3 linked regions of the Elephas maximus indicus genome follow. The protein of the gene in region 1 interacts with the protein of each later gene in a pairwise test. Links are inferred from orthologs where the notes say so. Each region holds a gene or a part of one and is shown in the gene's direction. Other genes may lie near its edges.

Region 1 (10,300 bases):
ATGTTCCATGCATGCGGGGAATTGGTCTGTTTGTTCTCTGCTCTTTCCTCAGTGTCTAGCACAGAGCCTGGCACATTGTAGGTGTTCAACAAATCTTTATTGAACTGAATGACTAGATGAATTAAGGGGCACAAAGAAATGAAGAAAGTCTCCATCGTTACAGTCAGTTGGGAGGTAGGTAAGTGGGTGGCAGTGGGGCCATCTGAGGTACAAACAAACCTATTATAAGCAGGTTAGGGCCTAGGTTCAGTTGAAGGGAAGGCTCTATTTCCAGGGTTAAATTGCGCAGCTCCTAGGAGGAGGTAAGGAGCCTCCAGGATCACAGCTGCCAGGCCTCTGGGGCACCAGGCAGAGAAAAGAGCTGACAGAGGAGGAATCTCCCCTCATGAGGACTTGGAGGACTGAAGGGGTGTTGTCCACCTGGTCCAGAAGGGAGGGTATTACTCCCTGCAGAGGCCACAGTGGGAAAGGATCCTATCTTCTTACCATGAACTCTTTTCCTAAACATTTTGATTATTTTCTACCTCTGGAACCAGTACTTCTAATCTAGAAATGCCAATAAAATGTATCTTCTTTACTAATTGTGCACAACCACATTTTCTAAATGAAAAATTAGTGCTACCTAAGGAAAGGGATTAACTCATTATTTTATTACCCAATTGTTTTAGTTATCTAGTGCTGCTATGACAGAAATACCACAGGGGGTGGTTTTAAGAAACAGAAATTTATTTTCTCACAATTTAGGAAGCTAGAAGTACTAAATCAGGGTGCCAGCTCTAGGGGAAGGCTTTCTCTCTCTGCTCTGGAGGAAGGTCCTTGTCTCTTCAGCTTCTGCTTCCTGGTTCCTTGGAGATGTCCGAGTATCTTGGCATCTATTTCACTCCATCTCTCCTCTGTTTGCTTGCTTAATCTCTTTTATATCTCAAAAGAGATTAACTTGAGATATACCCTACACTAATCCTGCCTCAGTAACATAACAAAGACGATCCATCCCCAAATGGCATTATAACCACAGGCACAGAGGTTAGTATTTACAACACATATTTTTGGGGGAAATAATTCAATCCATAACATCAGTAAAGATTTTATGTGTTTCTTACTTTAAATGAAAATTCTCTTTTTTACTCCCCTTGAGTTCTGCATGCCCTTGGTTTAATATAATCAATAGGATCTTTAGTCACATTCTCTCTTTCCAGTGCTTATTTTCTCTGTGGGATTCACTCTGGAAGATAGTCTATTCTTGAAGTATGTAGGAGCCCATATTGAATTACAGAGGGGAAGGAAACTATAACAAATACTGGGTGACTGCAATTCGCTGGAAATTGTTTTTATGGTACTTTTCTCTATTAATGTGAAAAATGTGTATAACAAATACTGGGTGACTGCAATTCGCTGGAAATTGTTTTTATGGTACTTTTCTCTATTAATGTGAAAAATGTGTATAATAATACAGGTAGAATTTCCCAAGTTGAATGGTACACTATTTTTCTCTCAAAGGATATCAAAAAGCAATGACATCTTGTTATTTTACCAGAATGGATAAACTCCACCAGGAAAGACTAATGGGGTAACACAGCGACATTCTCCTCACCCCAAATTATTTGCTCAAGTTTATCACTGTTACTTTGCCAACTTGACTTGAGGAAGTGGCATGCAGAACACTTTGGCAATTAGGATAGCCTTAGTTTTGGTGGGAGTCCCTGGGGGGTGCACACTATTAACACTCTCAGCTGCTAACTGAAAGGTTGGAGGCTTGAGTCTACCTAGTGGAGTCTTGGAAGAAAGTCCTGGCAATCTACTGCAAATCAGCCATTGAAAGAAAACCTTATGGACCACAGTTCTACTCTGACACACGACAGGCAACTGTTTGGTTTAGGTTTATTTTAGTTTTGGTGAGGAAGGCTATGGCATCCTTGGAGCGGTGAACCTGACTGGCCCTCAGACCTATTTTGTGCGGGAATGATTTGCATATCAATGACTTTCACCATTCTTGGCTCCCGAGGGATTGTCCCTTCTGGGAGGGAGGCCTGGTGGAGGTAACAAGCACTTTCCCACAAACTCCTAGATAGGCAGGCTGTGATGTTATACGAAATAATCCAAGTAACTACCAGTTTTCTTTACAGGAAGTCAGTGTGCTTCTCTAGCATATAATTTCACTTCTGAGGGAAAGTTCTTTCTGGTAGGACTTGGTGCCATTAACAGCTAATTCACAGATTTTAACTTTGAAGTTTTTTTTGTCTGTTTTTACTTGAGAGGGTTCATTTTAACTATGCCTCTTGACTGTATAATTTACTTTTCTGTAAAACAAGGGATTATAACTGTACATATTTCCTCCACAGGGAATATAACAACCAAGGGTTTAAACATTTTTAGTTCTTCGTGGCTCTGGAAACTGGAAGGCCATCACTGACAACCCAGTACCTTTTTTTTTTTTTCCCTTGCTTTTAAGGTATTTTGTTGTTTGTTTTCATTCCAATGCCACAAAGCTAGATATTTCTAAAGTGAGATGAAAATGAAATAGTTAATTCCTCTTTAATTTTACTTGGCTTTTACGTGCCATCATGATTCAAATACCAAAAAACTCTGCTTCTAAAACTCATAAAGAAATGTAATAATACCTAATTTAGTACTATAAATATTAAGGTGCTAAACACTGGTCATTTGTATTGGTGTCGCTGTAAACAAAATTTTAGCCACTTTCCTGTTTCCTAAGTACCATTTAAAGGTTTTAGTGCAAATATACTTCAAAAAAAAAAAGAACGAATATTCAAAAATTTGAATCGAAACCACTAAGTTGTTGATTATAACCCACGAATTGGGATTTTCCTGATTAGATATTTTTAATTACACATTTCTTCTTTAGAGAGCTCAAGGGACCACATGAGCTGTACTTTCCTAATGAGTGTGGTATTCCTTACAACTCCCAAATGAATAGCCCTGCCTGGAAAAGGCAATTGCCATGGTTGAGTAGGAATTAATGTAGAAGGTGTAGGAAAGGAAGATGACTTGATTCAGTTTTCACTTGCCTAAGTCACAGATGTTAAACTCAACTTTCATCTGAGGCACCACAATAGAAGAGATAGGAAATTCCAAAGCGAGGTGCTGAGATGCAGACTTTCAATCAAAATACCAAAGACCAGTTTCATGAGTCTTAAACTCTTTCTCTAAAGAAGGAAATGAAAGTGTCTAGGAAGTGGAAACTGAGGGAAGATTTTGTGAAGACTATTTCTTTGGTGAGACCAGTGATATGATACCTCCAATGGCAGTGAAGGGAGGGCTTCAATATGTCCCTCAAGGAACAGTTACCTATAGTTTGTGCACAGGGGACTGATGCCTGACTCCAGCCTGAAAATCTTCTTGGGCTTCTTGGGCAACAGAGAGAAGATGTACTACGTTGTTAGTGCAGTGGAACAAATCACTTTTATGTGGCTTTTCTAGCCATGGTCTTGTAACTCCCACAAAATGATTGGTTGGGTCACAATCTTGTAAGGGATTGGTTGATTTACTATGCAAATAGTGGTGTGAAAATTTTCCTAATGGGATTGTGTCCCTTACAGCCCAGCTAGGGGACTGGTTGGTTTTGTAATCTTGCCAGGCTTATATAAGGGCCAATTCCATAGAGGTTTAGGGGGACCTCATTACCATGAAGAAGAGTCTGGAGCAGAGTGTGTCCTTTGAACCCCAGAGTCCCAGTGCCAAGAACCACCTAGAACCACCTAGACCCCAGAAGAGAGAGCTGTAACACTGAAGACAGAGAGATGGTGGGCTGGCCCCATGGAGAGAGAACTGGGTGCCTCAGTGCAGGAGGTTTGCTAGCTACCAAAGAGCTGTAACATTTGCCTGTGCAAGGCAGAGGCCTGAGTGTGCCCTGTGCAACATGCTTCCCCCCCGCCACCAGGCAGCATGGTGGGAGCCATGTGGGCCTGGGGAGCGTGGCTCAGTGATTAAGCACTTGGCTGCTAACCTAAAGGTCTGCAGTTTGAACCCCCTAGAGCTCCTTTGGAGAAAAGACCTGGTGGCCTGCTCCCGTAAAGATTACAGCCTAGGACACCCTATGGGGCAGTTCTACTCTGTCCCAAAGGGTCGCTATAAGTTGGAATTGACTCGACAGCACACAAAGGCAACACCATGGCTGAAAATCATGGCAACCCTGAGGCTCTGTGTAATGACAGGTGATGTGCATGTGCAGTTTATCTCTCCACTAGCTCCTTACCGCTAAACATTCTCTGAGTAAAGGCATTTTGAGAAAGCATTTGGTGATCCTGAAGTATTATCAGTAGCTCTCTTTAATGCCTTGATAAATAAAATTTAATAAATACATAAAACTCATTACATCCTTCATACTTGTCTTCTAAAAAAGCAACAACATAAATACCTTTGCTAATCTGTTTATAGTATAATATTTTAAATGTGATTTACCTTACAAATGCTAGAAATGAGCAGGATGAAGGTCATCTGGGCTGGCAGGACACGAGCAGTCTGAAACCAGATCCTGGCTGTGGAGCAGAGGGGAGACAGTACATCCTTAAAAATACAAAAAAAAAAACCAAACCCAGTGCCCTTGAGTCAATTCCGACTGATAGCGACCCTGCAGGACGGGGTAGAACTGCTCCATAAAGTTTCCAAGGAGCACCTGGCAGATTCAAACTGCAACCCTTTGGTTAGCAGCCGTAGCACTTAACTGCTACACCACCAGGGTTTTCTAGCACATCCTCCCAAAACACACATCCTTAGGAGGGCTTTAACAGGACCATAGTTGTATAAGGATAGAAGTATCCCAGAACGCACTTTATGTTTCATTCTCCCCAGTCTCCTGGAACCTCCTCTGATCAGGGGAGTGAGGAGTGGGTAGCAGAAAACAAACAAAACACCAAAGCGAGGAAAACAGTGCTATGCCTTTTTCCCCATTGTCTGTCCCCAAACTCATGCCACAAATACCCAAACGGTGCCTGTTTGTTGTTGGTGGAGTCGATCTGACTCATGGAGAACTGATCCATAGGATTTTCAAGGCTGTGACCTTTAGTAAGCAGATTACCACACCTGGCTTCCGAGGGACCTCTGGGTGAGTTTGAACCTACAACCTTTCTGGCTGGTGCTTAACCGTTTGCACCACTTGAACACTCATTCAAAAGATTTAACTTGTCCCTAAATTGCTAAATAACTGTGAGGGACTATTTTGATTTCTGGCAGAGTGTAACCGAACAACTTCTAGGCATCACATTTGCTATAAACACCTGCAATACACAGGCCCTTATGACAATCCATTCAACACTCCAGCCATGGAAAGAATGGTGTCTGGAGCCAACTATCCAAGTTCACCCAAGTGCCTCGGGATTTTGGTCCCAAATTCCTAAACCTCAGTTTTGCTGTAACCCAACTCCTCCCCATTCTTCACTGCATTTCTTTCCATCATGCAGTTGGAAGTCCAAGCAGGTCCAAGGTTCACGGCCAGTGACTTCCGTTTTTGATTCCCTCAGTAACCACTGGTCACCTTTTTCTATCCAGGCACCTCTGGCCCACTGACCTCCCCTCTCTGTCTCAAACCATTCGTGCAATGCTTCTTCAGCTCTTCCTCACCCTTTAGGATAAATTGTCCCTTGGATTCCACACTCAGAGACCACTGTGAGTATTCCCATCCCCCAAGTCTCAATACCCCTATCCTTCACCCCATTTCAAAGGTGAGCAAGAAACCGCCAGCAAGTTTTGTCAGCTGCTGAGGAAGACTAGTGGGTTCCTAGGGAAACGGAGAGGCAGCAGCCATTTTAGTGGCATTTGCTGTATGAAAAATATATAGACACTGACAACACCCCCCATCTCCATACACCATACACAAACCCGTGGCGCCCTCCCACCTTCTCCGCTTCAGAGGCCCCAAGATGAGCGGCGGGGCCCAGGTCTCCTGGGGACGCAGTGGCCACCTGTAGCAGGTGGCCGCACCCGGGGTTGGCACCCGCCCCCCAGGCGGGCGGGACCGCGGGCCTCCTCACCGCGGGCGCCGCACTGCAGCCCGACAGCGGCGGGCGGGCGGCTCGGGCCTCCCCGCCCCGCGTCCCGCCCCTCGTGTCCCCTCCCTCGCCAGTCCCCCTGCCCCGCAGGTCGCGGGAGCCCGCTGGGAGGGCGGGTCCGTCGCCGCCGCGCTCGCAGCAGGGCAGGCAGGGAGGAGTGGAGTCCGCACCCCCTGCTAGGTGCAGGCTGAGGCAGAGGGAGCGCGGGAGGTCGCCGCTGCCGGGGACACCGCGCACCGCTGCCCAACATGGTCGCTGCGCACGCTGCCCATTCTTCCTCCTCAACCGAGTGGATCGCCTGCCTGGATAAAAGGTATCTCGGGAAGGGTCCCCAGCTGGGGTCCGGGGCTCTGCGGCGCTGCCCTTGCCCCAAACCCGCCCGTGGGTTCGGCCGCTGGTGCCGCAGCTGGATACCGGGGCGCAGCGTGGCTGGGGCTCGGGGTGGCGAGGGCCCCCGGCCTGGGGAAGGGGCTGAGAGTCCTTGTCCGGGATGCAGAAGGACACAGACCCCAGCCTCTCCTGGGGTGCCACCTGCTTGAGATTGTTACACGTGGTGGAGAAAAGGCAGCGCAGTGGGGGGAGAGAGCACCGTCCTTTGCAATCCTCCCGCCCTCTTCTTCCCATTCTCCTCGCCCCCCGCCCACCCCTGACTCCAGCCTCCGCTTTTGGATGGGGGTTTATTTTCTCTTGGGATCACGGAACAGAAGAATAGAGTCATATCTTTTTCCGGCTATTCAGACCATTAGGGGTAAACGTGATTTAATTAGGGGTAAATATAATTTAGGAGAAGAGGCAGGTGCAGAGTAACATTCTTTTTTTTGTTCCCGAAAGCAAAGTGTGAGGGACCCAGTAGAGCTGTCAAGTCCCTTGCTGAAAATCACAACTCTCTGCCCCCGCAGTCAGTGGCTCAAGGTCTGTGCTAGGAAGGTCACGCGGGAGGCTGCTTTCGTCTCAATACCGTCTTCTCGGGAAAAGACCCTTTTTCTAAAACAATTAAAACCATAAACCATTCCAACTCTAGACGACAGCCCTGTAAGAAGGGTGCTGTGTGTAACAGCGGACTGCAATTGTTTTTGGGCTCTGACAGCCTAATATTCTGTTTGGCCAGATTGTAGGTTTAGCAGTAAACATTACACGGTATGTTAGTAATTATAATTTTTTTTTTTTTTACCCTGATTAAAAGGTGATGCATCTGAACTTTTAAGAACGGAGCAAGAAATCTTGCAGAGTGAGCTGCCTCTGGATTTCGGAGTTGCATGCAAAAAAGGGCAGTGATTCACATCCTGCAGCTATCTGCATGTCATCTCTCTTTGCACTTGTGTGAAATATTGCGCTCTGCCATATTGAAATTTTTACAATTAGCAGATTCATAACCAGATCAAATTTGAAAATCTTAAGTGACATGAGCTGCATACTCTACTATTATAGGCCTTTGTTAAAAAAATTAATTTGAGGAGAGCTAAATGTGGCTCATTTGAATAACTTAATATATGTGAGAAATAATCTTGACTTTAATTACCACACACTAGCAAGATTTTTTTGGCAGACAGTGTCCTATTTATGTCTAAAATGATATGTACTAATATTAGAAGAGTTGCATGCAATAAATAGTCAGAGAATTGAAGTGATGGTTAAATCATATGGAATTAGATAGAGGAACTAAAAGCACATTGAAGAGTCTGCTAATGTGATAAGTAATCTAAATTTAATAGTTTAGGGAAGATGAATTACAAGAGAAGAGCAAATCAAGCTCTTGCACTTAAACTATAAGGAGTAGTGCTTTCTCTTGAGTGAATTTTTTTAGATAATTACGTATTTCTATTTGCAGAAATGCATGGCATGGCATTTTTGAACTGTTGGTAATTCATTTGGAAGCCTTTTTTAGTCAATAAGAACTTAAGGCAAAATCATACAGCAATACTAACACAAGACGGGTATATTTGTCTGTTAAATACAATGTGTATTTATTTGCCCAAATGACTTTGTTTGAAATGGATATTTAGAACATGGTGCCACAATCTAATGCCACCATTTATAATGGGGAACAAAGTCTACCAGGGGAAAAAAATCCCACCGTAAACACGGAGCCTCACATTAGTGGGATGCAGGAGAGCGACAGACCAGTAACTAAAGGTTTTAGGCCCAGAGCTGTCACCGGCTCCGATCTTGGACATGTCACTTCTACTTCCTTGAGTGTTTGAAAAACAAGTCTAGGACTGTCTGCCTTAGCTCCCAGGGATGAGTGGATTAAAACACAACAACAACAACAACAAAAAGACAGGGCAAAGGTACTTTGAAAACTGTGAGATGCCTTGTTAAGTATTTTATTTTGTGGTGTTAAGGGAAGCTTGCATTTTTCGTAGTGTTGATGCTGGAATTCCTATGAAGAACAGTTTAGGAGTGGCAATCTCATTGTAAGAGGGCCTTGGGGGACTTGTTTTGGTGTTGAATTTTTACTTAGATTGTTTATTTTTTAGGAGAGGGGGAGTTTGAGGGTGTTGTGGAAGTGGCTGGGTAAGTCCCCAGAAGCCACTCTGGTGCAGACACTGCCCTCTGTGTTTCTGAGAAACGCAATCATGATTCGCTATTCCGAGCACTGTGCTGGGTGTTGGGGGATGCAACAAAAATGAGGAAAAGCGTTTGTACACCGGAGTTGCTTATTAGCCTGTGGGATGGAGGGCAGGGAATGAGGCGGCTACATAAACAACTAACCACAATGCAATATGTAAGTGCTTTAACGGAGATGTATAAAGTGCTTTGGGAAAGGAAAGGAGGAGTCATAGGCTCTGCCAGGGCATTTCCCATAGGTTCCTGCCTAGACCTGGGAAGATGAAGGAAATATCACCAGGCACAGAGCTAGGAAGGGCATGCCAGGCAGAGGGAGCAACTTGTGTAAAAACTCAAAGGTGTGGTATATAAATATGCTAATTTCTTTCCAACCACAAATACCTCTTGTAACCAAATCTAGAATTATAGAAGTGTATGGCCTATTTTTATAAAGCTTTTTATTATAGAAAATTTGAAGCATATACAAAAATGGAGGCAATAGTACAATGAACTCCTTTATACTATTTGGGGATTTGCTGCTGGAACCTCTTCCACAGCTGGGAAATTTAGTTCAAATATATGCATTTTGCAAATGCCAGTTGTTATGGGCAGCTAGAAAAAGAGGAGCCCAGGTGTTGGAAACAAAACAAAACAAAAAACCCAAACAAGTTGCCATGGAATTGATTCCAATTCATGGCAACCCCATGTGCTACAGAATAGAACTGAGCTCTGCAGGTTTTTTTGTGGTTGTAATCTTTACAGAAACAGATCACCAGGCCTTTCTTCTGCAGTGCTGCTGGGTGAGTTTGAACTGCCCACCATTTGGCTCGTTGACAAGCACAAACCATCTGCACCGCCTAGCACCCTTGTTGGAAATAACAAGGGAAGTTAAAGTGGAAAGCCCGCAGGAATAAAGGAGTTTGCAATGAAAATTGAAGCAAAGAAACAAAAACAAAACAAGGAAAGTAATGCCTTCGGCGTGAACAGTAGGTGTGCCTAGCAAACTTATCATGGACAGGACGATGCTGCACCAACCTGTATGTGGAGGAGGGAGCTGAACAATATGTAGATATGTGGATTAGATTAAAGAAAGGTTATCCAAAGCATTTTATGTATCAAGTATCCAGCCCTGGGGTTATGGTGGAACCTAGGAGATAAGATTCTACACATACTAATCTTAAAATCAGGAAGACATTGACCATTTGGGTGGACATCCAGACATTGAAAAAAGTATCAACAGACATGTTGTTAAAGCGAAACAAGCTTACTACTTTCATTGATCTTACAGCTTATCCTGCTTAGGGGTGATAACAAGGATGAATTACATAGTGAACACCATTTGGAATTTAAGATAGTTAAATGCCACTTTTTTTTTTAGTGTCCTGTCCATTGTTTAATTTTGGTGAAAATATTTTTCCCGTAAGGTTTTAAGTGTATCACCTGGGAATTTAAGAACCATGTTTACTTATAGGACCATAGTTCTCATAGTTAGTAAAGGAGTACTTGAAGGGGCCACATATATTCACAGATGTATAGTGAATCCTTGCTGGTATCACTACTATGGAGCAGGAGTTGGCAAACTATGGCCCGGGGGCCATATGGGGCCTGCCACCTGTTTTTGCATGCTCTATGAGCTAACAGTGGTTTTCACATTTCTAAATGGTTGGAAATAAAAGAAGAATAATATTTTGTGGGCCACGAAATGTATATGAAATTCAAATTTAGTTGTCTATCAATAAAGTTTTATT
Region 2 (9,844 bases), on another chromosome or scaffold:
TGGAGGAGCTGTGGGCTGGCTTCTGCGCTGCACCAACGAAGTGTGCCAATAGGTGAATAAGTATATGATTTGCAGCAGCGCCTAACACCCTACATCATTCTCCAGAGCAATGACTGCTACTTCACTTCTTCCAATTCTTACACAAATTTTTCTTGTGGCCAATCCTAAGCTGGAACTATACTGGCAAGGGAAATTTGGGGAACTAAATTCCAGCTTAGCTAATTTGGCACAGTATAAAACTACCACATGAGCCAAACATCAACAGTTGCAAGATACATGATACTGGGTCTCATACAGACTAGTCTCTCCTTTAAGCCTAACACCAGTCTCGTAAGATAAATATTAGCATCTCCATTTACTCATAGGTAATAAGCAAATAGGGGTGTAGTTTCTGCCCCATATCTGTGTGGTAGCCAGTTTCCAAGATGGCCCCCAGTGATTCTTGTCTCCTGGTATTCATGCCCTTGAGTAGTTATTCTTTCACATTAAGTAAGTCTGACCTGAGTAATCAATAGATTATTGCAGAAATGAAGGTGAGTGACTTTTTTTTGGTATAGTAAATATACTGCATATATGTTTTCTTGTTGTAAATATATATGTAACAAAACATTTGTCATTTCAATATTCTTCACATGTACAGTTTAGTGACTAGTTTATTATGTTTTTCAACTATCTCCGTTATCTGTTTCCAAATTTTCCATCACCTTTAACAGAAAATCAGTGTCCCCTAAGCAGTGAGTCCTCCTATAAAAGTGGCATGGGGTGGGGGTGGGGCAGCATCTGACCTCCTCTAACTTCACAAGGGGGGAGGGGAATCAAGATCAACAGCCCAAGGCTGATTCCTCTGAGGTGGAGGTCAGACATGCGTCCTCTCTCTGCCATCTTTTCCAATTCTGACACCAACCATTCATCCCAAGGCACTCTCTATTTCTCTGCTGGGTTCAATAATTTGTTACAATGGCCGCACAGAACTCACAGACAATACTCACAATTACAGAGTTTATTACGGAAGTGTCTTATTTATCTAGTGCACTGTAATAGAAATATCACAAGTAGATGGCTTTAACAAAGAGAAATTTATTCTCTCACAGTTTGGGAGGCTAGAAGTCCAAATTCAGGGTGCCAGCTCTAGGGGAAGGCTTTCTCTCTTTGTCGACTCTGGAGGAAGGTCCTTGTCATCATCAATCTTCCCCAGCTGAGGAGCTTCTCAGCATAGGAACCCCAGGTCCAAAGGATGTGCTCTTCACCTGGCTCCTGTTTCTTGGTGGTATGAGGTCCCCATGCACATCTGCTTGCTTCTCTCTTTTATATCTCAAAAGAGATTGACTTAAAACACAATCTAATTTTGTAGATTGAGTCCTGCTTCATTACATAACTGCCTTGAATCCTGCCTCATTGATAGCACAGAGGTAGGATTTATAACACATACGAAAATCACATCAGATGACAAAATGGTGGACAATCACACAACACTGGGAATCATGGCCTAGCCAAGTTGACACACATTTTTGGGGGGACACAATTCAATCCATAACAGGAAGTCAGAGGTTACAATTCAGGTTGAGGAATACTCAGGATACAGTTTTTCCATCAGGACAACCTCTTCTCAGCCACACTCACAGGCATGCCTCTCTCTGGCCCCTTGGTCTCTGCCCTGCTCAGGCAAGTGTTATAAGTCTCTTTTAGCTCTACCAATAAGTACCCTGAGGGACCCCACTCTGCCAGTAATTCTTAGCCCTAAGGTACTCAGCTCTAGCTCTGTGGGCAGGCAAACCTAGCTCCACCAAGTGCCATGAGGCATCCTACTCTGCCAGCAAGCCTCCTGCTGGAAGATACTCGGCTTTCTTGCTCCCTGGGCCAGGAAGCCCACTGTGCCATCTCCTGCTGGTATCTCCTGTCACTGCTTCTCACCATCTTCAGTGTTACAGCTCTCTCTTTCTCTAGGAGCTTCTCAGCACAGGGATCCTGTGTCTAAAGACATGTTCTGCCCTTCTTCCTTGGTGCTGGTGAGATCCTCTCTTTCCTGCCTCTGGAATGGCTCATTTTAAACCTACTGGGATGGCAAACCTGACCAACCTCTTGTTAGGGTTCCATTTTTTGGGGGATGGCAAACCTGACCAACCCCTTGTTAGGGTTCCATATACCTTATTAGCATGGTCCCATCTAATTATTTGGTGGGAGTTACAAAGACTATGGTTAGCAGGGCCGTACTGAGTAATTCATTGCACTGCACTACCTCTTCCCCTCCCTTCCACCTGCCCCTGGCAACTACCGATAAACTTTGGTCTCTATACATTTGTCTATCCTAGATAGTTCATATAAGTGGAATCATGCAGTATTTGTTTTTTTAGGACTGACTCGCTTTACTCCACATAATGTTTTCAAGGTTCAACCATGTTGTAGCATGTATCAGGACTTCATTTTTCTTTATGGCTGAGTAATGATCCATCATATATATGTACATTTCGTTTATCTATTCATCTTGCTGATGGACGCTTAGGCTGTTTCAATGCTGGTGAGTGATTTTTGAGGCTAGATTATAAAAGATGTTGCAGTGTCTACCTTTCTCTTTCTTGGATCAATTGCTGTGGGTAAAGCCATTTACCGTGTTGCTGAGGACACTCAAGCAGCCTGTGGGTAGGATCATGTGGGGAGGAGCTGAGACCTTTTGTGAATAACCAGTACTATGCTGTTGAACCACCTTGGAAGTGAATCCTCCAGCCCCAGCCAAGCCATAGATGACTACTGCCCTACAACTTGACTGCAAGCTCTTGAGAGGCCTGAAGGCAGAACTATATAGCTAAGCAGCTTCTAAATTCCTGACCCACATAAAATAAAAGGTAATGTTTATCATTGTTTTAAGCTGCTAAATTTTGGGGTTATTGGCTACACTGCAACAGAGAACTAATAAAATTTGTTAGATCTCAAAGCACAGCTCTTTTCTATGACATCATGATGCTTTAAAATTTGTTTGAATTGTAAGAGTGGGAATGTGGAAGAGTGGAAATTTGGAAGCCTGGGATATCATTCTGTTCATGTCCTTAAAAAAAAAAAAAAGAAAAAAAAAAAAGGGCTTTGAATCTGTTTGGTGCTTCCAGATCAGATACATTGAGAGAAGGAGTGTTATCTGGTGGTTAAGCTGAACCTTGAGAGTTAGGGGGGTTTTGTTTTTGTCACTACCCAGGGAAAGCTGAGTTGGCATGAAAAAATTAGAGGTTCAAATTACGCATTTTTGCTGACTGGCAAGGTGGATTCTGGCAGAGCAAGAGAAGTCCTGAGAAATGGTGGTGAAGTGGAGTGGAGCCTCCAAAGCCCTCATGGTGAGGGACTGACATGACAGTCCCTTTCTTATGCCCTTTCCCTTCAGGCAGGCCGTCCTCTCCTCTGCCCCCAAATCCTCTGCCCCAAGCAGGTTCCTATTTGACCTCATGCTCATTGAAGCAGCTTTCCTTTTTCTGCTCTTTCCAAATTCCTCTTCCATATCATGATTTTTTCCTTCCTTAATAAGGTACATCTGTGTGCATTAAAGAACATAAAAGGTACATAAAACCAAACTTTTTCTGAAAGCCATCTCGTTTTGAAAATTCCTGGCATTTGTTCTCTAAATATTGTCCAGATTCAGTCTTGGGCTGGAGAGGCAAGGCACTGTGCCTGATGACTTAATCAGATTAGAGTGTGCCAACGATAATTATTATCCTAGAATGCCAGCACTGGAAGAATCTTTCTAGAATATCTGGTTCAGTCGTGCTCATTTTATATGCGGAGTATTTAAGGTCCAAAGAGCTCAAGTGACCAGTTAAGCTCCAGAGATTAACTGGACATATACAATGTGGAGGATGCTGTTCTAGGTTTGGATAAGTGTGTTTAACAGTCCACCCATTCTTATGAGTAAGATGGGTGGAGTGATATAATGGGGTCCTTGGGGATCTCTGGTTATGCAAGCTCAGAAACAACAGCATTGCCCGGGTCAAACCCTTCATAAGGTGTGAACTGACCCTCAAAAGTTGGAGGTTAGAGAGAAAAGGTTACCTGGTTACCTGAACCTCTGCTTTCTACAACCACCTTGTCCCTGACAGATATTTTTGGGGGACACAATTCAATCCATGACATTCCACCCTTTGGCCCCCCAAAATTCATGTTCTTGCCACATGTAAAACATATTCACCCCATCATATCGTAGCAGAAGTCTTAAATCAATTCCAAGTCCCAAATCCAAAAATTCTTCTTCATCTGTGAAATCTAGAATACATGTCACCTGCTTCCAAAGCACAATGGCAGAACAGGCACAAACTAGACATTTCCATTATAAATGGGAGAAATTGGAGGGAAAGAAGGTATAACAGGCACCAAGCAAGTCAGCAGAACACATTACATTAGCCCCCAAGGTTTGAAAATAATTCTCTGTTCTCTGAGCCTATTCACATAATGGCCCTGCCCTCCAGACTGTAGGTATTTCCCACAATCTCTAGATTCTGAGTGGAGACCCCTAGGTTCTGGGCTTCAGCTTTGCCTTCAGGCCCACTGGGATGGCAACTCTGCTCACTCGGCTTTAGATGCACCAATCTCCTCATCCATCTGAGTGGCAACTCCACCCTTCGAAACACCAGAGGCCATGGTTCCACCCTTTGAAACCCCAGAGGTCCTGGCCATACCTTTTGAGACTCAGGCTTCCTGGTTCCTTGGCCTCTCTGCCCTCGGGGCTCACACCTGCATCTGCCCTGCTGGGTCAAGCATTCCAAAGCTCAGTAGCTTCACCAAAAAGTTCCTGGAGGCACCCCAGTGTAACAAATTCTTAGTCATCTAGTGCTGCTATAACAGAAAGACCACAAGTGGATGGCTTCAACAAAGAGACATTTATTCTCTTCTGGTCTAGTAGGCTAGAAGGACAAATTCAGGGCATCGGCTCCAGGGGAAGGCTTTCTCTTCTCGGCTCTGGAAGAAGTTCCTTGTCACCAATCTTCCCTGGTTAAGGAGCTTCTCAGTCAGTGCAGGGACCCTGGGTACAAAGGACGTGAACTCTTGCTCTTCATTCTTGGTGGTAGGAGGTCCCCATGTCTCTCTGCTTGCCCCTCTCTTTTATAAAAAGAGATTGGCTTAAGACACTATCTAATCTTCCAAATCTCATCAACATAACTGCCACTAATCCATCTCTTTACATCATAGTGATAGGATTTACAACACATAGGGAAATCACATCAGATGACAAAATGGTAGACAATCACACAATACTGGGAATCATGACCTAGCCAAGTTGACAGGTATTTTGGGGGACACAATTCAATTAATGACCCCAAATCCCCAGTGCCGTCGAATGACACATCTTAAATCTTGATTCTTGCCCTCACAGCACACTACAGAGTAAACCAAAAAAAAAGGCACCAATAAACGTTTGCTGAATGAATGAAGCGCCTCCCCAGAGGCCCTTTCACGCCTTCCGTCACCCTCCACATTCTCTCCTACTTGGGGGACTGCTCTAGCATTTGAGACTCTGCCCAGGGACTTTTCGGGGTTTTCACTACTCTCCTCAGACAGCGACTCAGTCTCCGGCACAGGGCCTGGGTTCCCTTTCTTACGGTGGGGCATCCACCGGAGCCAGGCAGGCAGCTCACCCAGTCTGGGATGGGGGCGCTTATTTGGGGTGTAAGCGGGCACGGAAAATGGTCCGAGCTTGTCTGGGGAACATTCGGAGGATTGGGGTGGTATCTGCCGTCCTAGCCGGGGCAGAAGGCCGGGCATTCCTACCGGCAGGGGTGGGCCGCCCCCAAAACCCCAAGCTGCCGGTGCGCCGTGCTCTGGCCCCGGGCGAGCGTCGAGTGGGCGGGTCCAGGCGGGACCTGGTCCGGGGAGGCCGGGTCCAGGCGGGGGCGGGGCCTGCCGCGGTCAGGTGACCGCGCGGCGGGCGGTGTCCGCCGAGGCCACCAAGCGGCAGAGGCGCCGAGGGGCTGCGGGACAGGCGGGCCAGCAAAGCCGCGGCCATGGGGGGCTTGAAGGAAGAGCTGCTCAAGGCCATCTGGCACGCTTTCACCGCGCTGGACCTGGACCACAGCGGCAAGGTCTCCAAGTCCCAGCTCAAGGTGGGCGTCCCCGGCTCCCGCTCCACTTCGCCCGGGTGCAAACCCGACCGGGCCGGCGGGGGAGGGGGCCGGAATGCGGCCCGGCTGCCTGCTCGGGGCGGAGGGCCAGAGACCGGGATTTGGCATTTTTTGCCTTCCCCTTGCCTGCAGGCGGTGCCGTCGGGCCAGAGTTTTCGTTCCTCGGGGCCTGCCTTGAGGGGGAAAGTTGAGAGGTGGGGGTCTGTGAGGGGCCAGCCGGGCTCCCTCTTGGCGCGGGGGCCCAGGATCTTTTGCACTCGGAGAGGTAGGTGGGAAGCTCCCTTACGGAACCTCCAGTAGAGTTTCCTCCTTACGCAGAGGGAGAGGAAGGCACGTGCCCAAGGAAGGTCACAGGGCAGAACCTTCTATAGTCCACAGTCCCACATCAAGACCTCAAAACGGCCAGCCGCCCCCTGAGCACGGGGGGATTCAGTGTAGAGAGAAATGCCCCAGAGCTCGGATTTCAGTGGACTCCTCCTGTGGAGACTTTTGGCTGTGGGGAAAGCTTTCTGGCTTGAGAAAACCTCCGCCTGGCGTCTTCAAGGTATGGAACTGGAGGTTGAACTGTGTCCCGCCAGGCACCTTAGTTACGGGTGAGAAGCACTGCTTTTCTAAAAAAAAAAAAAAATTCTAGCACCCTGCAAAATGCACCGTCTATATCGTCGCCGCCAAAGACTCCACCGCTAAGTGAGCGTATAAAAAAAATAAAACAAAAACCAAACCCAGTGCCGTCGAGTCGAAAAGTTTTGACTGTAAATTAACCCCAAACAGGGATAGTGGCGCTCAGCCAGGAGAAATTGGCAGCTTCTTGAAAGTATAAAATATGGAAACAGACAAGAGGAGCCCTTCATAGGCATTTTAAAATACACACGTTTTGAATCTGAATGACTGATTTTCTTAGCCTCTTCTGGAAAAGAATTTTTAAAGATTGGGTTGCTTTATATGTTTTGTGCAGTAATCAAGGGGCTCTTGTGAGCACTGGTTTTTATGCTGGTAGGACTTAGAACTCCCTCTGGTCTTCCTTTCCTCCCCTCTCTTTTTTTCATAGTCTGGAAGGGTCCACAGAGATCATCCCTTTACGTTTTATTATACTTTATTTTTTAAATTAACATAGAGTAAAATAGACTTTTTGGAGCCCTGGTGGCACAGTGATTAAGACTTGGCTGCTAACCTTTTGGTTATCAGTTTGAATCCACCAGCTACTCCTTGGAAACCCTATGGGGCAGTTCCACTCTGCCTTATATGGTCGTTATGAGTTGGAGTTGACTAGGAGGCAGTGGGGTTTTTTTTTGGTTTAAAATAGACTTTTTAGGTGTACAAAACCAGAAGAAAAAAAAAACCAAACCCAGTGCCGTTGAGTCGATTCTGACTCATAGCAACCCTATGGGACAGGGTAGAACTGCCCCACAGAGTTTCCAAGGAGTGCCTGGCGGACTCGAACTGCCGACCTTAGCACTTAACCACTACACCACCAGGGTTTCCTTTTAGGTGTACAGTTCTGAGTTTTAGCTTATGACCCATGTATACCAAAAACAAAAAACAAACAAACAAAAAAACCCCAAAACAAACAAAAAACCCAAAACTCCCCACGTACACCAGAGTAGAACTGCACTTCGTAGGTTTTTCAAGGCTGTGACCTCTTGGAAGCAGATTGCCAGGGCTTTCTTCCTAGGTTCCTCTGGGTGGATTCAAACCACTAACCTTTTGTTATAGTGCAGGTGCTTAACTGTGCCTTACTCATGTATAGATTCATGTAACTGCCACATGTTCAGGGTATGGAAAGTTTCCATCACCCCAGAAAGCTCTGTCATGCTGTCCTTTGTAGTAACATTCCACCCTCCACTCCTAATCACTGGCAACCACTTATCCGTTCTTAATCCCTATACTTTAGCCTTTTCCAGAATGTCATATAAATGGAATTATACAGTATATAGCCTTTTGAGATTGGCTTTACTGAGCATGATGTCTTAGAGATTCATCTGTGTTGTGTATCAATAATTCTTTCCTTTTTAATGCTAAGCAACAATCCATTGTATGGATATACAATAGTTTATCCATCACCTTCAAAGAATGTGTTATTTCCAGTTTTTGGTGATTTTGAGTGGAGTTGCAATACTTTTAACTTACCTATATGAGTATATTTAAAGTGTGTTTCTTGCAGACAACATGTCTTTTTTTTTAGACCATTTACATTTAATGTAATTATTGATGTTGTTGGATATAGGGCTACCACTTTATTATTTCATTTGCTTGTTTTCTCTGGTTTTTTTGTTCCTTTTTCTCTTTTCTTGCTGTCTTGTGGATTATTGAATATATTTCATATTCTACTTTAATATTGAGTTCTGAGCTGTATTTCTGTAATAGTTGTTTCAGTGGTTGCTCTATATAATATAGAAAGCTAATTTTTTACAGTCTACTTAGAATTAATATTTTACTACTTTAAGAGGAATGTAGAAACCGTATCACCACACAGGTCCTTTCTTTCTTTTTGTTTTAGTTGTCATATTTCTTAATTTACCACATACCTTGAAAACCCCATGAGACAGGTAAAATCTTGTTTTCAACCATCATGCATATTTTAGAGGTCTTAAGAGAAGAATAGTTTATTCTATATTCAGATATTTACTCCTTAATTTTATAGGCGAGACAGATGAGTTTTTTGAAATTTTAGTGATTTACCCAACCTCACAGTTGTAAGCCGTAGCTAAGTCTAGTACTAAGATTTTAAAACTTTAGAGCCAATGCTTTCTTCATTTCCTTTCTTCCAATTGGTGGTGTGAATGAGATGTTCCCCTATTACTTTTGTCGCATTCCATTAAAAACTTTTTTTTTTTTTTTGATAACATACTCAAGTGGCTGCTTATAGGAAAAGTGTCCAGAGGATTTTTGACAGCAGGCTTGGCAAGAAGTATTAAATGCCAGTTCATAGTTTTCACCCTTGAGATGTTAATAATGCAACTGTGCAATTATATTTTGTCTCTCCTTTTTCTACTTAAGTGAAAAACTTTGGGCTTGATTCAGTTCTGTTCCTCCTGCTAGTGGAAAATATTTTAAAATTTCTATTTAGTTCTTTTCTTTTCAGTATTTGACTCTGAAGTTTGATGTTTATTGATCCGTTGGCCAGGAGTAGAATTTTTTCCCATAATTTACTATTTATTCATTAGTTCATACAATATCCTTTTGTTTGTGTACTGTGTGTAAGGTACTGTGCTAATTTCATAAAAAGGTTAGTATTTTTAGGATCTTAGAGGTTAATATCTCCTTGACAGAAATGTCATATAATTGGTTTATTAAATAACAAACTAAAAATTACATCTCCAAAATAAGGGCTAAAAATGATTGTTGCAGAAGTGTATATGTGTATTCTAAAATATTTTTGCATTTGTCTTTTTGAATTCACAACTTTTGACACAGTGAACTTTTGACACATGCATTAAATATGTAATGAATACTTCATATGTTATACACTGTGCCGTATGCAAATAGGCATGGATATGGCAATGAAAATGAAAAAGAAACAAATATGAAATCTTTGTCTTCAAAGAGTTTAAATTTTGGTGAGCAAATGAGAATAAGCAACCATTAGAGAAGGCATTCTATATATAGATTATATTAAGCAGACAATTATCCTATTCTTAAAAAATGAAAAGTCTGGAGGTAGAGATAAGAACTTTAGACATATGGAAATATTGGGTAAAGATGTTGAATGTGATAAAAGATAAGAAGCCATGAGATTTTAGAGGAAGAGGCGA
Region 3 (9,959 bases), on another chromosome or scaffold:
CATGATTCCCAGTATTCTGGGTTGTCCTCCATGTTGTGATTATAATTTTATGTTAAAGAGGATTAGGGTAGGATTGTAACACCCTTACCAGGTCACATCCCGGATCCAACTTAAAGGGATTTTCTCTGGGGTGTGGCCTCTCAAGAGATAAAAGGAAAGGGAAGGTAGCAGAGAGGGGAGAACTAACACCACCAAGAAAGAAGCACTGGGAGCAGAGCACATCCTTTAGACCTGGGATTCTTACGCAGAAAAGCTCCTAGTCCAGGGAAAGGTTAATGAGAAAGACCTTCCTCTAGAGCCAACAGAGAGAGAAAGCCTTCCCTTGGAGCTGACACCCTGAATTTGGGCTTCTAGCCTACTAGACTGTGAAAAAATTAATTTCTCTTTGTTAAAGCCATCCGCTTGTAGTATTTCTGTTATAGCAGCACTAGATGACTAAGACAAATGGTAACCCTGGTGATGTATTGGTTAAGAGCTATGGCTGTTAACCAAAAGGTCAGTAGTTCAAATCTACCAGGTGCTCCTTGGAAACCCTATGAAGCAGTTCTACTCTGTCCTCATAGGGATGCTATGAGTCGGAATTGACTCGACGGCAGTGGGGTTTGTTTGTTTTTAAATGGCTAATGGGAGCCCTGGTAGCATGGTGGTTAAGAGCTCAGCTGCTAACCAAAAGGTTGGCAGTTCAGATCCACCAGCTGCTCCTTGGAAACACTATGAGGCAATTCTACTCTATCTTATAGGGTTGCTATGAGTTAGAATCAATTGACTCAACAGCAATGGGTTTGGTTTGGTTGGAATGGCTAATGAGGAGCCCTGGTGGCACAGTGGTTAAGAGCTCCACTGCTAACCAAAAGGTTGGCAGTTCAAATCCACCAGCCGCTCCTTGGAAACCCTATGGGGCAGTTCCACTCTGTCCTATAAGGTCACTGAGTCAGAATTGACTCAATGGCAATGGGTTTGGTTCGACTTTTTGGTAATGGCTAATGACATTGAGCATCTTTTCATGTGCTTATTGGCCATTTGAATATCCTCTTTGGTGAACTGTCTGTTAAGTCCTTTGCACATTTTTTTGATTGATTTTTGTTGTTGTTGTTTTCTCCTCAATAATAAAACAGAAAACCAAACCCATTGCTGTCAAGTTGATTCCAACTCATAGCGACCCTAAAGGACAGAGCAGAACTTCCCCATAGGGTTTCCGAGGCTGTAAATCTTTACAGAAGCAGACTGCCACATCTTTCTCCCATGAAGCTGCTGGTGGGTTCAAACTGATGACCTTTTGGTTAGCAGCTGAGTGCTTAACCACTGCACCACCAGGGCTCCCTGACTCAATAATAGGAGTTTTTAAAATACATCTGGGATATTAGCCCCTTATCAGATAAATGGTTACTGAAAATTTTCTCCCAGTTTGTAGATTGTCTCTTCACTTTGTTGATAAAGTCCTTTGATGAACACAAATATTTCATTTTTATGAGATCCCATTTATCTGTTTTGACCTTTGCTGCTCATGCTTTTGTTGTCGTTTCATTCCTTTTTATTGCCAAATAATAATATATTGTTTGGACATACTATATTTTATTTATCCATTCACCAGTAATGGACGTTGGAGTTGTTTCCACTTTTTGGCTATTCTGAAAAATGCTGCTATGTACAAGTTTCTGGGTGGATACATGTTTTCAGTCCTCTCAGGTGTATACCTATGAGTAGAACTACTGGGTTATATGATAGCTCTATGTTTACCCTTTTGGGAAACTGACAGACTTATTTTCCAAAGTGACTGCACTATTTTACATTCCTACCAACTGTGTATGAGGGTTCAAATTTCTCCACTCAGTAATATTTTAATAGGTTTCTGCTTTTGGTTTGGAGACCTCATTTGGTAAATGCCCATAGGGTCAGAGCTCAAAACATCAGCTAGCACAGTGCTTAGCTCTGATAATGATGATGATGATGATGATAGCTAACATGTATTGAGGCCTTCCTATGTGCTGGGTGCTGTTGTGAGTATATAATTTAGTTATCATAGCATTTGTCTGGGAGAGCTAGTGCCATTAGAATTTTAAAGATGGAGAAACTGAGGCTTGGAGGGATTAACTGATATAGCACACAGATGATACAGCTGGTAGATGGCAGAGCCAGGACTTCAACCTAGGTCCTTCTGACTTCGATGCCCATATTTTTGAAAACCATGCCATTCGGATAAGCTCAGTATCATGTACATTTGACATGGTGGACATGCTGGATGAAGTATCAAATCACCAAGATGATACTACGTTATTTTCCGTCTCAATCAACCAAAAGTGTCTTGCACCGGCCCCTGCCGCCCTGGCCCTTTGTAATCATCCAGTATCCCTCCCGAGTCCTTGGCATTCCCAGCAGAGCCGAGGCATTGAGCCAGGATGAGAAGCCAGGGCTGGACAAGAGCCACTTGATAATTCCACGCAGGTGGTTACTTCAACCAGCTATTGAACCTGAAGCATTATCACCCTAAACTAATGCAAACAGACGGGCTCTGGGCACTGCTGTGGCAGGGACAGTTTTGTCCTTTAGGATTACAGAGTTGTATCACTCACACATTTTTAGAAATGGAATTCATTCTCTTTTGAATTATAAAACAATATGTGCTCAGTATAAATGATTGGAAAATGCAGAAAATTAAAAAGAAAAAGATTTTCCCAAAATCTCAACTCCTGGAAACAACCACTGTTAATATTTTGGTGTATATACTCATAGTTTTTTTTCTCCCATGCATTAAAAACATGATTGATTTTTTTCTGATTAAAAAGTAATACATTATAAAATACAGATAAAACATTCTATACTATCTCAACATTCATTGATAGTCACTATTAACATTTTTGTATATATCATTTAAGTGTTATTGTTTTTTCCTGGATATGTATATATAACCAAACCAAACCCACTGCCATCGAGTTGATTCTGACTCATAGGACAGAATAGAACTGCTCCATAGGGCTTCCAAGGAGCAGCTGGTAGATTCAAACTGCCAACCTTTTGGTTAGCAGCAGACTTCTTAACCACTGTGCCACCAGGGCTCCTTCTATCATTATCATTCTGTGAAATATGTGATATAATTGAGATCACAGTGTACATTTGATCTTAGCCAAAAGATCAAGAACAGTAGCCCACACTATATATTATCATTTGTATCCTAATTTCCCCCTTAGGTTTTGATTAATATTGTTTCTCCCATGACATTCAAACTCCTTGTAAACATCATTTTAAATAAGTGTGCCATCATGTATTGCTTGGCATGTTCTTGATTTATTGAATCATTTCTCTTTTGTAGGATATCAGACTTTTTGTAGTTTTTCCACATTTTATATAAATTGTAAAAAACATTTTGTGTGAAGTATTTTGTAACATTTCAAATATTTCTTAGGGTTCATTCCCAGGCTCCAAAAAGCCTAGCTATTTTTTTCTTAATTATAAAATATTTCAACATAAAGAAGTGACTAACTTCCCTGAACTCACCAGCCATCTTTTATTTTAAGGATTATACACCCTTCTATTTTTTTTTTTTTTATTTAGTTGGCTTAATTTTCTTTTTTATTGATGTATAACTTCTATGCAGTAAAGGGCATATATCTTAAGGGTCCACCTCAATGTGTTTGTAGGTGAGGTTGGTCTTTTTTCACTATACCATTTTAAGCTAGCTTTGATATCAAGGTTATAGTATCTCATAAAATGAACTCTGAAACAATTTTTAGAAGATAAGAATTATCTGTTATTTGGTAAAACTCACCTGTAAAACCGTCTGGGCTGTTGCCTTTGTGGAACTGAGGAAGGAAATACATTTCTATATTAACAACTCAATTTCTGTAATAGCTATTGATTTGTTTTTTTTATTTATTAAATACATTTTGATAGTTTATATTTTTAAGACAAGTATTCATTTCAAAGTAAAAAAATCTTACTGTATTTGTGTTATGACTCCCTTTTCATTCTTAATATTATGTCTCTTGAGTCGAATGCTTAATTCATTTATTCTTAGTCTTATTTTTTTTAGCACACACACCTAAAGCTATAGATTTACTTACATCAGAACTTACAAGTTTTGAAATGTGGCTTAAACAAGTTTTCATATGCGGCAATATCATTGTTATCCAGGTCTAAATTTTTGTTGTTGTTATTTCCTTTTCTCCCATGAGCTATTTGGAAGACCATTTAAAAAAATATTAATTTTACTTATTTCATTGTTGTTGAGAATGCACACAGCAAAGCATACACCAATTCAAAGTTTCTACATATACAATTCAATTATATGGATTACATTTTAGAAGTCCTTTATTGATAATAAATGTTTAAGTCTCTTGCTAACAGGTGCTAAATCATTTTCTTTGAAATCTGTGCTGTTTTACACTTCCAGAAGACATGTGAATCCCAGGATTGCCCCAGATGATGTCTCGAAAACAAACAAGCAAATAACCCATGTCCTGTAGAGTCTGTTTGTATGATACAAACTGCCATAACTGCAGTCTAGGGAGTCACTATAACAAAGAGGCTAGTATCTGGGGTCTGGATTCAAGTCCTGACCAGACCACTTAGTAAGTGTAGGCTTTGGGCAAATAATCTTTCTGCACCTCAGCTTCCTCTTCTGTGAAACAAGGCTAATAAAAAAAGTATCTGTTTCATACAGTTGTTGGGAAGTGTTTAGCACCTAGCTGTCATATAATAAATACTACTACTTTTTCAACAATCTAATTGGTGCTGATTTTACCAAATATTTTTCTTTATACTTTCCATGTTGCCATGAGTAACATAAAACTCTGGGTTTCTGGAAGGTAGAGATCCATGTTCCCAACAGCTGTGTTGTACCTCCACCCCAAACACATACAAAGTCGACACAGGCATCCACAGACAAGACTGTCTAATTTCACATTCACAGTTGCAAAGAATAGACATCCTCACGAAAACACACTCAGCCAAGCACAGAACCCACAGATTCAGGTCCACACTCGTGCTTCTGCACACTCCCCACAAAGATGGATCCATCGCTCACAGATAGACGCGCTCACGAATCCCACTCACGGCTTAGGAGCCCGCTGGCAGATCACAAGCCACCTGCAGTGCCAGCCCCTTGCAAATCATCCAACAGCATAAACCCCTATCCATCAGCTCCAGTATGGGCAGGGGGCTTGTTCTTACTCCCTTTTGGTTGATTTTGTTTTAGCCGTTGTTGTTCTACTTCTTAGAGTTATTATCTGTGCCTCTTTCTCCCTACCCAGCCCCCCAAGCCTTTTCCAATCTTCCATTGCGCATGTGCCCTGCATCCCTCCCCCTGGGTACCAGTCGGCGCTCCCCGGCCCTGCCGGCGGAAGAGATGGAGCAGCGTCACGAGCTCCCGGCCCCTTAAAGCGCTGCTGGCTGGAGCCGCCTCCCTCCCTGCATCCCGCGGCGGGGATGGAGTAAAGGGAGATCCGTCGACCTGCCCGCGGGAATCAGCGATGGAGTTAAAGCAATCCTTGTCCACCCATCTAGAAGCTGAGAAGCCTCTGAGGCGCTATGGGGCTGTGGAGGAGACAGCGTGGAAAGCAGAGGGACTGGAGAGAAGTGAGTACTCGGGCGGGGGGTCAGTTGGGGTGCCGTGCGCCGAGCCGGTGGTCGCCAGAGCGCGGGGAACGCAGGGAGTGGAGCAAAGGCAGCGCCCCCGCGGCGGCGCTTTTTGCGCTGGAGGATGCGCAGCGATGCGCCGCAAAGCGCTCTCCCCGGGAACAAAAGGGGGACACTCCGGGCTGAGCTACACCGGGAGGCTCGGGAAATCACAAGGCACGCTAAGCCGGGAGCCTGGGCTGGACTCTGGATCCGCTAGCTCGCAACTGGTCTAGGAAAGTAGAGTCTTTCCCGCAGGCCAGGGAGGAGGGTCCTTTCGCAATCCTGATGCGCTAGGGTGCTTGAGCTGTAAGACCATCCTTTGAAAGCGCCCACAGCCCTGGAAAGGGGGGAGTGTCCGCTGGGTTTCCGCTGTGCTTTCCACCGGCGCGAGGTTCAGGGCACGCCTGAAATTTCCAGCTTTCTTTCCTCCCTTCTCCTGGGTCCGGAGGAGGTGGGGAAAACGGTAGTGGAAGGTTAACATTGTGCACACTCTTCTCCTTTGTCCGCTGACTCAATTCAAGTCTTTGGTTTGGGTACAATCCTGGAATGCATTTCCGAAACAAGTCGGCTATATTTGCTGATCCTCTCTCTGTTTTTTTTTTTTTTTTTTTTTTTTGGTGCCAACAACATTTCCAAATAAACGAAGGATTTTCGTTTTTAATTAGTAGAGTGCAACAGTTGAAACTCCTGCCCTCAAAGTGCAGAGGCAGCCAGAGGGGCACTAGGGTCATGAGCCCTTTCTGCAAACCCACGGGGCTTCCCAGTGCCTCGGCCCTTGCATTTCGCGCCCTAGAACACTGCCTCCCCACAGGCTGGGAAAGGCCCTCTTGCCCTTCTCAAGGAGCCTGCAGCTTCCGGCCTTGGCTCTAGGTAACTGCTCAGCGCTCTTACCCACGCCAACCTCAGAGCTGTGCTGGGCCAAAGTATTGTGAATCTGCTTTTTTCCTGTCGTTGATAGAAAATTGCGTTGTGCATGAGTGTGTTCTTTCTCTATACCTAAAATTAAAAATTGAGAACATCTTCCTAGAATGGCTCAGCTGTATTCTGCTTCTGATGCGTTCAAGTTCAAATCACAATCGAAGGTCTTAGTGCTTCACTTGATGCATGCCATAGGACTCTCCACCTCCCGCCTTGTCTTGTCTTCTACTTTTAGACCTGTGTCTTCTTCCCTATTTCATCCTTACAACACCGTTTGGCTTTGGTGCTCTGGTCCGTCATCAAGGCTGAGGAGTTCTGTTTCCTTTTATTGATTGATAGATTACCATATGTTAAAGTCCCTCAGTGGCTCAAATGGTTAAGCCCTTGACTACTAGCTGAAAGGTTGGTGGTTCAAACCCTCCCAGAGGCACTTTGAAAGACAGGCCTGGTGATTTGCTTCTGAAATGCTACAGCCTTGAAAACCCTATGGAGCAGTTCTGCTCTGCACACATGGCAACAACTATCTATCTGCGCTAAGAAATGTATCATCTCACTTAATTCCTGTAACAACCTCCTGAGATGAGTTTTATGACTCCCCTTGCACAAATGAAAATGTTGGGGATTGTGAGGTGATAGGATTATTAAGTGGCAGAGTCAGGACTTGAACCCAGAGCCCCTGCTCTTAGTCATGAAGGTTTATTGCCTTCATGTTTTTCACTAACCTTCCTGAGTCTGTGGAGAGAATCCCTATTGGCCCCTGTGGTCACAGTGGCTTTAGGACTTGGAAGAATGTCAGGGTCTATGCAGAGTAGAAGGAGCCCTGGTGGCACAGTGGTTAAGAACTTGGCTACTAACCCAAAGGTCTGCAGTTTGAACCCACCAGGCACTCCTTGGAAACCCTATGGGGCAGTTCTACTCTGTCCTGTAGGGTTGCTGTAAATTGGAATCGACTCAATGGCAGTGGGTTTTGGGGTTTATGCAGAGTAGAAGCTGCGTTTGAATAAGCCCTGAATTTGAATCCCCGCTCTGTCCCTTGCTGCCTATATGACTTTAGGCACATTTCTAAGCCTCTTTCTGCCTCAAAGGAGTCCTGGTGGTGCAGTGGTTAAGCACTCAGCTGCTAACCAATAGGTTGATGGCTTGGACCCACCAGCTGCTCTGCAGAAGAAAGATGTGGCAGTCTGTTTCTGTAAAGATTTACAGCCTTGGAAACCCTATGGGGCAGTTCTACTCTGTCCCATAGGGTTGCTATGAGTCCGAATCAATGTGATGGCATTAGGTTTGGTTTTTTGGTTTTTTTTTTCATACCTCTGTTTTCTGAAAGTAGAAACAGTGATAGTGTCTACCTTATAGCTTCATTGCAAATATTAAATAAGGGGATGTAGTTGGAGCTCAAGAAGCTGCTTCCGTTATTTTATTACTACATCTATAGAAGGAACCTGCTTTTATGCTTTGCAAAAATTACGAACAGCAACACCCTGGACCAAAACGCTAGTGGTGGTGAGTTCCCTAGTTTAGCTTTTTCTTTTCTCACCATTTTATTGGCGGCATTTTCAAACATACAGAAAAATTGCAGTAATCACCCATTTATAGCATTTTGCCTCCTTGAAATTTTTATGCTTCTAAGTCCCAGGCTGCAAACTGCTCAAAGTCTAGCAGAAAGGTTTTCTCATTCTCTCTGTTCCAAGCTGTCAAAAAATCTCACTCTTGCTCTGTATTTAAATGTAGGAATGCAGTTACTGATCTGCTTTTGCATAGATCCCCAAATGTGTGTGTGTGTTTAATTTTCTACCTATTCAGCCTTGAATTCTTCTTAAAGTATTGATCCAGGGTCCAAATATGAATCTTGAATCTGGGTTGGTTACCTTTAGCAGTTTTTAATCTCTATACTCTTGTCTAGAGCTTGGCATTTTTCTGACAAAGTGGCTTTTTTTGAACTCCCTCTCAACTCTCAGGGCATCTATTCCATAATGTCTGGCGCCTCCATTTATTTATTAATGAAGTGTGAAAATTAGTACTATTGATTCTGTGGCTTAACAGATGCCAAGTCAGTGTTATTATGCATGATAGCTGGAGACGGGAGTTGTTGTTAGGTGCTGTAGAGGTAGTTCCGACTCTTAGTGACCCTACGTACAACTGTACAAAACACCACTGAGTCCTGCACCATCCTCGCAATCGTTGCCATGTTCGGGCCCATTGCTGCAGCCACTGTGTCAATCCATCCCGCTGAGGGTCTTTCTCTTTTCCCTTGTTTCTGTTTCTTTGCAAATTCCTGATAACAACTGTGTGCCCACTGCCTTCCGCATGGGAAAGTGAGGGTGAAGGGCCTTTGACTCCTTGAAGACCGTCCAGTGTTCTTTTGTATGAGAAAGGTCCTGCGCAAATTGCTCACACCACCTTTGGCAGCATTTTTCTGCTAACAGTGTTTTTTTTTTTTTTTCCTTTACTCAGTTGGAAAATGTATAATGACATTTCAGTGTGGTTAGATATAAAAAATATTGCTTTCAACCAACTGTTAATAATTGAGGGAGACACAAAGGCAAGGTGCCTTGTGGAAAAGCCCAGAGCTTTTTAAAAAAACAGAGTTGTCTGTTGTTGTGACCATTTATTGGTAGACATTGAATGGCCTTTAAAGGATGGTCAAGATTTTGGATGTGGGGAGCTGGGGCTGAGTGCACTGGCAAAAACATAAAGGTGGAAATCAGTGTGCTGCGAGCAGGAGGCTAGAACAAGGTGGAAAGCTCAAATAGCAATCTTTATAAACCCAGGAGAGATGACTATTATTTAAAAGTCCAAGGATGTGTACTGACTAGCAAGCGGATCATTAAATCAGCCAGTGTTTCAGGTTTAATAAATAGCACAGAGACTGAGATGATGTGAATTACTGGCAGCCTATGTAATGGCTTCTTGGGCGGAGTTTTGTGTTACTTTCATCTGTATGATTAAATATGCTAATTTTATTATTTCAATTGGATTTTGTTTTAGCTTTATTTCTTTTTTTTTTTGTTACAGAACTACGTGTACTTTATTTAAAAAATTTCAAATTTACAAGAAATATAAAAATAAAACTGAAAAATAACCATGATCAGCTCCCTCATCCTCATTTATTCATTCAACAAACATATTGAGTGCCTTATAGGTAGGTGCCAGGCAGTGTTCTAGAGGCTGTGCCTACAGGTGAGCAATACAGACAAGGTCCCTGCTCTCACGGAGCTTCTGTTCAGGGGAAAGCGGGAGTGAGGGTATCAGACGATACACAGGCAAACCAGGTAGTTCAGGTAATGGCAGTTCTCCTAGGGAATTATCAGGGGAGGGATATATTCCCAGCCAGTCATTAGGAAATGCTTCTCTAAGGTGACATTTTGCTGTGTCAATAGCAGAAATTCAGGTAGTGAATGCAAAGGCCCTTGGTGTGTGTTAGAGGAAGA

The links.
Region 2: the proteins of RAPGEF4 (region 1) and SWAP70 interact in a two-hybrid assay, tested with the Homo sapiens proteins (2 studies listed by BioGRID and IntAct). The link is inferred for Elephas maximus indicus from reciprocal best matches to the Homo sapiens genes RAPGEF4 and SWAP70.
Region 3: the proteins of RAPGEF4 (region 1) and BMERB1 interact in binary tests that used the Homo sapiens proteins (3 or more experiments, as listed by UniProt). The link is inferred for Elephas maximus indicus from reciprocal best matches to the Homo sapiens genes RAPGEF4 and BMERB1.

The regions. Positions count from the first base shown.
Region 1 is NC_064824.1:70,834,819-70,845,118, forward strand, and holds the start of RAPGEF4 (rap guanine nucleotide exchange factor 4), read left to right. Parts: upstream 1-6,061; 5' UTR 6,062-6,253; coding exon 6,254-6,318; intron 6,319-10,300.
Region 2 is NC_064825.1:64,806,633-64,816,476, forward strand, and holds the start of SWAP70 (switch-associated protein 70), read left to right. Parts: upstream 1-5,894; 5' UTR 5,895-5,975; coding exon 5,976-6,074; intron 6,075-9,844.
Region 3 is NC_064830.1:76,034,322-76,044,280, forward strand, and holds the start of BMERB1 (bMERB domain-containing protein 1), read left to right. Parts: upstream 1-5,352; 5' UTR 5,353-5,465; coding exon 5,466-5,571; intron 5,572-9,959.